2 linked regions of the Drosophila melanogaster genome follow. The protein of the gene in region 2 interacts with the protein of the main gene of each other region in a pairwise test. Each region holds a gene or a part of one and is shown on either strand. Other genes may lie near its edges.

Evidence for each region.
Region 1: the proteins of CG32767 (region 2) and yellow-g interact in a two-hybrid assay, tested with the Drosophila melanogaster proteins (2 studies listed by BioGRID).

What each region holds. Positions count from the first base shown.
Region 1 is NT_037436.4:2,269,347-2,274,481, forward strand, and holds yellow-g (yellow-g), read right to left. Parts: upstream 3,424-5,135; 5' UTR 3,346-3,423; coding exon 2,905-3,345; intron 1,794-2,904; coding exon 1,597-1,793; intron 1,163-1,596; coding exon 619-1,162; 3' UTR 535-618; downstream 1-534. Other genes in the region: CG32302 (uncharacterized protein), read left to right, coding at 1-435.
Region 2 is NC_004354.4:5,079,979-5,084,962, forward strand, and holds the start of CG32767 (uncharacterized protein), read right to left. Parts: upstream 3,048-4,984; 5' UTR 2,439-3,047; intron 2,262-2,438; 5' UTR 1,508-2,261; intron 1,280-1,507; 5' UTR 1,203-1,279; intron 1,138-1,202; 5' UTR 1,096-1,137; coding exon 1-1,095.

The sequences.
Region 1 (5,135 bases), on a different chromosome or scaffold from region 2:
TGCGTCAATGACACGGCCAATTCGCTGTATCCGCTGATGATGAAGTGCCACGAGGGATTCGTTTTCAACAGCTACAGCTGTGTGCCCGACACCAGGAGCATGAGGAGCATTCAGGCGATGGAGTCCCACACGTGCATGAACAACGATAGGTACCAATGCCCCTTCCGAACCTCTGAGATCGAGTACTGCAAGTGCGTCGATGGAGAACTGGAGGTGATGACCTGTCCCGCCGGCTTCCAAATTGATCCTAAGATCCTGACCTGCGTGACTGATAGGATCTATCAGTGCTCGGACTTTGAGATCCTCAGCTGTCCCAATGTCTCCACCAAGGATGAGTACTGCATATGCATCGATCACCAGCTGCAGATCTACAGCTGTCCAATGGGACAGTATTTCAATGCTGAGACTCGAAAGTGCCAATCAGAGTCAGAGTAATGAATTGTTTTCATGGTACCAATATTGATTCAAGTAAATGCCTATTTAAAAAATTGAAATCATTCTGAACATTTTAAGATAAACTACAAATAACTATAAATATTCACCAAAATTTTAATGAGACCCAGTAACGACAACAAATCAGTTTGAATCTTAAGCCTAAGAAAGTGGAGGGATACGGACTCAATCGTCACATTCCCGCACCACAGGATGCAGGACGATCGAGGCTCCGTTGCAGCCCGTGCGATCCGAGATGAAATCGTGGAAGTTGCTCTCCAGCGCCCACATGAATCGCTTGTGACCCGGGAGCACTTGGGTGGACAGCCGGCAGTCGCCTCCCCGCTGCACCTCCTGCAGATTGGCGGCCTTGAAGCAGGTCTCCGAGTCCCACAGGTAAATGTCGTTCTCGCCCTTGTAGCGGAAGAAGAGCGAGGTGCCGCCGTCGGCGCCCAGCAGCACCGCCTGTTTGCCATAGGGCTTGGGGCCCACGTCGATGATGGAGCCCGCTCCCTGGCCAACGCGCAGGTACTCGCCCTTGATGGAGTACAGACGGGGGGAGCTCAGGTAGCTGAAGAACAGGGTGGAGGTGCCGTCCGGCTTCGAGGTGAGCGCCACGTACAGCACATCGCTGGTGGGGGCGGTGGCCTTCGGCAGGACGATGCGGTAGGACTTGTTGCCGGTGATGTCGTATACCAGGATACTACGTGCTCCAGCATCGGCCACATAGCTATGGTTGAAAGTGAAGGAAATATAATGTGGAATGAGATTAGATATCATGTATGCAATACAAATCGATTTTATTTGGTATATGATGAGCCACACTTCTGAGAACTACCTTGAGCAGATAAGATATGAGCCTCAAAGTGGCTAATGCCCTTTTGATTGGCTCAATGATCGCTGATTGAAAGCATGATTGAAAGTGTGTGGTAAAAGTACTCCAAACTCTTGATTCAGTTCGATGATTTCAACGAATATTTTATGACTGCAATATGAATCTCTGAATATCATTGTGCTGATAAATAATGGTTAGTAATAATGGTTAATAATAATGTAATGTGTGGTATTAATTTCATAGTTGATGTATTTCAAAAAGTGATTAAGTACAACTCATTTCACAGATGAAGTTAAGGGTAATAAAAGAGTATAGGCAATGGAACTCACACGAATGGCTTGTTGTCCTTGGAGTAGTCGACCACGATGAACTGCAGCCGACTCTCGGAGGTGACCAGGTCGCTGAGGTCGATGCTCTTGACCACCTTGTGGTTGGCCGTGTTTATGGCCACGATCTTGGGACTGCATCTGCGGATGGGCTGCTCCAGGGTGTTGACAATGCCCACGTCCAAGGCCCACAGAAGTCCCTGCGAACGGAGAAGGCAATTATTAATTGCTATCAATTGCAGCTCGTGTTGATTGTTGTTAATGTTTTCATTTGGCGGCTAATTGAAATGTTGGCGGCGTTAAAAATTCCACATTCGCAAATATGTGGCCATAAAATGAGTATCAGCGAAAAGCACTGAATGGAAAATTGCGCAAATAAATAAATACAGTCGCCTCGTTTGTTTGCCGTTTGTTATTGTTTCGTCGACTTTTGTGTAAATAAAATAAAGAAATGATTTGCATAAATGCAGCTAAACGGGAATGGCATTTAAATGAGAACGATTCGACGCCAACAATAATTGAAGGAAATTATTAAGTTGCAGCTTATGCTCGCAATCGTAAGTAGGTCATGTAAATATTTAATAGCATCATTGTAATATCTGCGAATGCATCTGTCATTTAAAATTAAAGCTGAGAACTTCTGAAGTGCAATCGAAATGCACAAAACACGGCTGGATGGCCTGTTCCCAGCATTTCCAAAATTATTTTCGAGAACTTTTCACTGCATTTGCTTGTCACTTTTCAGCTGCAGTCCTTGTCCTTTATAATATTCCATTTACCCCACAGCTTTTTCGGCGTTTCCGTATCCGTTTATTCTACCCTTAAATTGCTGCCGCCAATTGACGGGCATGAATTTTATTTGGAGCTCTTCACTTTTGTGGCCCCGTTTATTTGATTAAAAAAGTAATATTTGGTCGACAGCGAGGCTAACCAATTAAAAAAGTGCGTCCGGCAAGGGGTTAATGCGAAAACGATACCCTGGAGCTAAACTCCCGATTTTGATCGACTTTGTAAGGGCTAGCAAATATTTAACACTGCGACTGCACATCAATATCAATATCAGAAGATAAACTAAATCATTTTTAGAAAAAAAAAGTGAATAGCCCTAAGAGCATTTCAATGCTACCCTGTAATCCACCCACGATACAAATATGAATTAAACATTTGGTGTGGGTTAAAGTGCTATGCCTCCATGGTGGCCAACAACGAGCAGTCCGTAATTAAAGGCAGAACTGGCAGTTTGGACGAGACAACTTGTCTGACCCCCAAAAAAAAAATGGTCCAAACAATACTGGCGTTAATTGCACTCACATTCTGATCGACGGCTATGTCCACGACGGACTGCAGCGCCTGGCAGTTGCCCTCCTCCTGAATGGCCCAGCAGGGATAGGGTGCGATCTTGGTCAGGCACTCGCCCTTCTTTAGATTGACCTTGCCGAGAGTGAAGGGCACGCCCTGCTTGTACCTGGGCAGCGCCACGAAGGCGGAGTCCCGCTGCAGTTGGGCCCGGGTCACGATCACGTTACGGGGCACATAGCGGCCGGACTGGACGTAGATGTTCTTGGTGGACTCGCAGGGCCAGTGGAGGCTGCTGCCGCTGAGCTGGAAGGTCAGTTCGTTCAGCGGGTTCTTGTCGCACTTGGTGCCGCCAATGGAGTTGGAGGCGTCCGTCGACTCGTCGGTGGAGGAGCTGTATCCCGCGAGGACCACGGAGGCCGAAGCGACGAGGAGCAGCAGTTGCAGCTGCGACATTTTTCGGCGTTTCTTTCTGCGCTTTCCACAAACAGAGCTTCTGCACTCGATTCACCACGTTGGCCAGAACATAAAACTGTCTGAGCGATGGTAGACCTGCATTTATATATAATACCCAACGACTTATGCAGCCAGCATGTGGAGCGTGTTGCGGCAAGGTCGTTGGTTGCTTGACACGGGGGGGAACAAGTGTCTGTCTGGAGTGGCTACCACCCAGCCAGCACGTCTGGCCCACGCCGGAAGTCGGCCAGACCTCTAAGCCCGCTCGGTTTCTAAGCAATGCGGAAAGCGATGCGGAAATGAAATGCAAACTTAACCCCTTCCCTCTATCTAGATTACACGATTCTTCCTAAGCCATCCAAATCAAATTTAACTCCCCTGGTTTTTACTTTAATTGTCTTGATAACAGTTTGTTCTATTATGGCAATCTATGCCTGTCTAATTAATCACTTCTACTCCTTTTATTGCTCTTATTTTCTGAGTATAACTTTGTGCTATTATAGCCATTTATAGGCAGCTAATTAGTCACTCAAGTCCGTTCAATAAAATGGGTTCAAGTTGCGAAATAGCTTCTGTCACTCATCGATCGCTCTTGTGCATCCGACAGAGTAGCAAGTTTCACCCCTTGGCAGGCAAAGTTCAGAGGTCGCTGCGAAACACTTGCCAAAGTGGCCCAAAAGTTCAATATCAATGCTGACGTCTGTGACCTGCATATCTGCGACCGAGAAAGTTTCAGTTTCTTGGCTCGAGTTACCAGCTATTTTCGGATGACAAAAACATCTGTCAGTCCGTCCGTCTGCAGCTAGCTATCAGTTTGCTTTTGGGGGAGGGGGCGGGCGAAAGGAGAAAGTTCGGGGAGTTGGTGGGGCACATTACTCGCAGATAAGATTGCAAGTTGCCGGAGATTCGTCGTGTGAATCACACCCACAGTTTCGCGGAACAGTCACTCTGTTCCAAATTGATTTCATTTCTATTTTAAGATAAATGCAAAGGCGAAATTTTATCGCATCAGGGAACTTTAAAAGGCGCTCTGAGTTCGCCATTTTCAAGTCGGGGGTATAGCTCAGGGGTAGAGCATTCGACTGCAGATCGAGAGGTCCCCGGTTCAAATCCGGGTGCCCCCTGGAACTACATTTTTTGCCATATTTTTTTTTGTTGGCTGCTCAAGTCTCTTTGTGGACTTTGGTGGACTTTTTTGCACGTTGATTGCGGGGGGATTAGAGGTGTATCCGCCCGACGTGGTCGATGACCCCGTTAACTCGTAGAAACCCACATATCGCCAAGCGGCGAATAAAAAATCTTTGACACATTCGGGCAAGCGGTGGAGGAGTCGGTGTCCAGCTGAAGAGTCTTTTGTTTGGGACAGCTCGTGCAGCGAATTATGGACAGCACTGGGCTTACATTAAATCACAAAATGTTTAATCTCCTTACAGCTGCCCATCATCAAATGACCATCGGCGGGTCAACATTTTGATAACCCATTCATCGGGGGTCAGACTGGCTGCTCCTTCCGCATGGCGGAATGGGAAGGGTCTGTCTATAATGCCAAATTACATGCAGATTGAATTTTTGTGAATTCCGATTCAATAAACTGCCATGGGTCCAAACCCCCCTTCCCACGATCGTAATCCCCCGATTTATGGCACACACATGCCCAAAAGCAGGCGGATGTGATAAGTGCTGTGATATGTGGGCGGGATTGTCAGTCGGGCCGAATCTGTGGATAAATATTTATGTGCTCCAACATAAATAAAAGCAAAGTATGCAAATGGAAATTTGACGATGCTAAG
Region 2 (4,984 bases):
AGCGGCCGCCGGCATTCTCACATAGGTTGCTCCGGCCGTTAGGCCGCCAACAGCATTGCTTATGTAGACAGGTCGTCGTTGCAGCTGCACAAGAGCCGCCTCGGTCACGGGCACCGACAATCGGTGGGTGGTTGTGCTCACAATACTACCGGCGGGCAGTTGTACCAATTGCTGTGATCCTCCGCCGGCTGTTGCGGCGCCACCAGCGGCACTACTCGTCGCTGCTCCAGCTGTTTGCGTTGCCGCACTAATTTGGTACTCCAGCTGGCCGTGCTGCAGCTCCTCGTCATCGTCCTCATCCTCTTCCTCCTCCTCGTCGGGCATTTCATCATCCTCTTCCAGCTCCAGCTTAACTTGCGTGGACAAATGCGCGGTGGTTTCGGGCTCCTCATCGGCCTCGGCTGCCTGAGCCTCCTCTTCGATATCCTGCAGATTCTCATCGTTCAGCTCGGGATCTTCCTCCTCCTCGTCCTCCTCCTTGATATCGCTGGCGGCTAAAACGGACGAGTTACCCGTGGCCTGGATTATGATGCGGCGTCCGTTTAGCAGATGATGTTGCTGCTGTTGCTGCTGCTGCTGAATGAGCAACTGTTGCTGGTTGTCCAAGTGATTGCTGTTGTTGCTATTGCTACTGCTGCTGTTGCTGCTAAAGGAAGCGCTGTTGTTGGTTGCTGCGGCTGCTGTTGCTGCAGTTGTTGCTGCTACTGCTACGGCAGCTGCGGCTGCTGCTGCGGTCGGTGGGTGGTTGTTGCTGCTGTTGTCCAGCTTCAGATGATGATGCGGATGATGGTGTTGCTGCTGCTGCTGTTGCTGCTGAAGATGCTGCTGCTGTTGCTGCTGATGCGAATGCGAGTGAGGATGATGCTGCGAGTGATGATGGTGATGCACATGCGTATGCTGGTGAGGATCGTCGTCCTGCTCCATGGGAGCATCCTGCAGTATAAATTCGATCTGTTGCGATAGGGCGCTATCGTTAATGGCCATTAATCCGTCCATATCTTTGACACCGGCAGCGGCGCCAACGGCGGGGAAGAGCGATGGCAGCGCCGTCGACGTCCCGCTGCCGCCGTCGACGTTCGTCGCGCTGCTGGCCATGGCAGCGATATACTAATTGATGTATATTTCCCTTATTTGTATCTGCAAATCGTACAAACATTTGGATTAGACTCACATTCGGCCATGGCTGGTGGGCAATAACTTACGTTCTTCTCTTGAGCTGTTGGGGATGCGACGCCTGTGTTTGGCGTAAACCTCCAGCTATGTTGAATATATTGTTAGCCTGAGAAATAGAACAATATTATGAACTCTGCCACAAAATCTAACAAACAAGTTAAGTCCATTCGAGTTTCTGATGTCTTAAAGTACGGGTTATTAAATAAAACTAGATGAAAGCGAAATGCTTTCAGTACTGAGAGGAACAACTATACAAAACTTTGGTGATTAAGTGATAATTTCATCGAAACGAACTAGTTTTTGTTTGGAAAAAGCAGGGCTTGTTGTTACTTACAATTTTTTGTTTGTTTCTTGTCGTTTTGGCTGCCAAAGTTTTCTTTTATGTTACTACTCCCTATTTAAAAATCTTGCCTTTGGGCGTCTGTTGTTTCCTCTTCTACAGAATTTTGTTTGTCGAAGCTGCCATAATTAATAATTGTTGTATATTTTTCAAGTTGCCGCTTCCTCTTCGCCTTCTTCTTCTTCTCATAGATTTGCTGATGGGCTTCTTCTTCTGCTTTAGTTATTACATCTGTTTCTTCCTCCGTTTATTCTGTTCTCTTTCGAATGCCGCTTCTTCCTTGACTCGTATTATTATTACTATTATTCTTCGATTATACGATTGGAAAACACACACACACGCACACACACACACGTTCTTGTATTTTTGTTGTATTTTGTTTTGTTTTTCGTTTGCTCAACGCCTCGCTGTCGGCCTTTCCTTTATGTTCACATTTGGTTTTTTGGGCTGCACAAAAATTTTCCATTTCCTTGTCATGCGGTTTTCTGTGCTTTCCATGCGGCGACGCTGGCGTCGACGTCGCTGCTGGCTGCGCTGCTCCTGGCTGTCGTTGTTGTTTTAGCTTTTGTTGTTTCCTTGCTTGCTTTCCACATTTTAGTTAAAAATGTTTCTGCGCTGTTTTTTGTTGTTTGCTTCACGCACGCACACACACACACAGAAGTCGTTACATTTGCTCCTTTCCTTTTTGTTATTATTATTATTATTGATCTGCTCTCCTCTTTCGCATTTTGTGCAATTTGATTACTAACTGTAAGTGAGATGTAGAAAAATCAGGTAAATTATACACGTTTTTGCTGCTGTTAACAATTAAATGCGTTTTACGAAATCCGATTTTCCACCCACACTCACACACACACACCAGTGCGCGCCTTGGAAATAAAAACAAAAAATTAATTTTAGCTTTTCCCCCCACTCTCTCTCTCACCATCTCTCACACACACACACATTCACAGGTTTTTCACTTTTGCTCCATTTTTCTTTCGGTTTTTTTTGGGGAAGTCTCTCCTCTCCCTTGCTCACACTTTTTGACCTTTTCGATTGTTCTTCTTTTGCCTTTTTCTTTTGCCACTGCTGTTCGTTCCTTTGGTTTTATGTTGCGTTTATTAACTTGCTAATTGTTTAGTTCGTTTTATTGAATTTGTTTGCGTTATTTTTTTGCCATTTCTTTTTCGGTTTCGTTTTTTTTTTTGCAAGGCAGCAACAACAACGAACGACGAGACAATTAGCGGCTGCGCTGCTTCTTCTTCTTCTGCTGCTGCTTGCTCTCCTACTCTGATTCCTATTCTTCTTCTTCTTCGTCCGTGTTTCCCAGCCGATTTTTGCTCCCCCGCGAGTAGTTTTTCTTTGGCTTTCCCCCGTTCGCCTTTTGTTGTTGCCGTTTTCCACACACCCGCTTTACTTTTCACATCCGCAAGCTCGTTTTTCCCTTTCGCGCTGTTCTTCCACACTGTTCAATAATAACAAAAAAATATTTGCTTGTGTGTGAATTTTTGCCTCCCTGGGTCTTACTACGCTCGTGTGTGTGAGTTAGTGTTGCGCAGGGTTGCATTCGGCGGTCAGTGTTGGTAAACGAACGGGCGATGGCGCGCAATTTCGTGCAATATTCAAAAAGTTAATTGGTTTTCGGTTGGCCCGCACACAAAACAACGTTACTTTTATTTCGTTTTTCTTTTTGGTTCTTGTCCTACTCCGTTTCGCCTTTTTTTTTGCCTTTCTTACCCTTTTTAAACACCCACACAACTTCGTTCTCACTCACAACACAAAACCAAAATATACAGCAGGGGTCAATGAAATAGTATTATCAGGTACATCTTACTCAACATCTATTAATTTTTCCTTAAACAGATTATTTTTAAATAAGAAATGAAAAACAACATTTAATTATTATTATTAATTTAATAGGGGCTTAGTACACGCATTTTAAGATCATACTACAAGCGAGCATCTACTTTCAAAAGAAGGCCGTCTTAACGAATTCCCTATTCTCTCGGCCACAACTGTTCCTAAAAGGACTGCCAGAACTTGGAGCCCAAAAAGGGAGCACAAAAAGAGGACGTTGTTGGGCGGGGGAGCAGGGGGAGAGCTGACCTAACAAGCGGAAATACATAGGCACAAAAGAAATACGCCAAAAGGCAGTCGGCGTGAGCGAGAAGGATGGAAAATGGTCGAATTGCGCGAGAGCGAAAGAGGGGACGCTAGCGCGTCATACGTTGCACAGTGGAGCGAAATAGGTGATAATAAAACAACAAACTCATTAATATTACATTTAAAACATTAATTTAGTGCCTATGAGTTCACTGGAGCGTGAAAATTCGAAATTTGTTAGAACACCTAGTCTGCGCGTCCCACTGTGCGATGGGGCCCGCAGCGGGGGGCGACAAAAGGCGTGAGAGGTGGAGAAGCCGTTTTATTTCGACAGTTTCTGAATTGTGCTCTCTCTCACTCACTCACTCTCCTTCTCCATCTTGCTTCTCCCTTTTTTCGAGTGCTGCTCCTGGAAAGATGAGGAGCAAGAGGAAGAAAACATCATCACCTTGGAAGAAAAAAATTTTCAGTGGGAAATAATTCGCTTCGTTTTTTTTTTGGTCTTTTCATTTGGTGGGTAGTGGGTGGTTTTATTGCTCAGTGATTTTTCGCCGGGCGGCGACGGGTGGTGAAGTTTTTGGGGGTTGAAAGCACACACACACACACTAACGCAAACATCAGCAAAATAAAGGGCTAACAAGGGTTAAAAAATATCCGCACAACAAAATAATAGCAGATAAAAAAAAACTAAATGAAATTCACACACAAAGGCAGCTGGAATCCTCTCCCCCACACAACCACACACGCACACTCAAAGAAAAGAGAACTAGTTCTTTTGTTTTTCTCTTTTCGTAACTAGTGGATAACTACTTCCATGCCATACATCCATATATATAAATTTACATATTTATTTAATTGTTTATATTTTTTAGCTGGCGCCGCTCTCTTGCCCTCTCTCCATCACACATTATTCGCACTTCACGCGCACGCACACACACACACTCGCACATGCTCGACACGCACACTCCTTTCGCTTTTCCATCGGTTTTTACTCACACTTAACATCACATTTTCGTTTGTTTGCGGGGTGTGTGCAATGCAGTTGGTTTAGTTTATCAGTGGTTTTAGTTTGTTATGTTTTTTACAGTTGCTTTAATTGCGTTTTATCGCCTTTTTGTTTTGTTTTTTATTTTTTATGAAAGGTTGGTAATGTGACCAAAGCCTGATGCTTAGAGATGGAATAACTAAAGCGATACTGGCAACAGTCACTATCGATACTTTGTAGGTACATCGATACATCGAAAGGAGGTGCAATTGCCAAATATTTAAAACCTAAAACTAAAACTGAAAATACTAAAATACTTACTTGATGTCTGGGCACACTGAAACTGGGTTTTTGAATTTTTACCGGTTTTTTATACACAGAAACACGAAATGCCGCCGTTT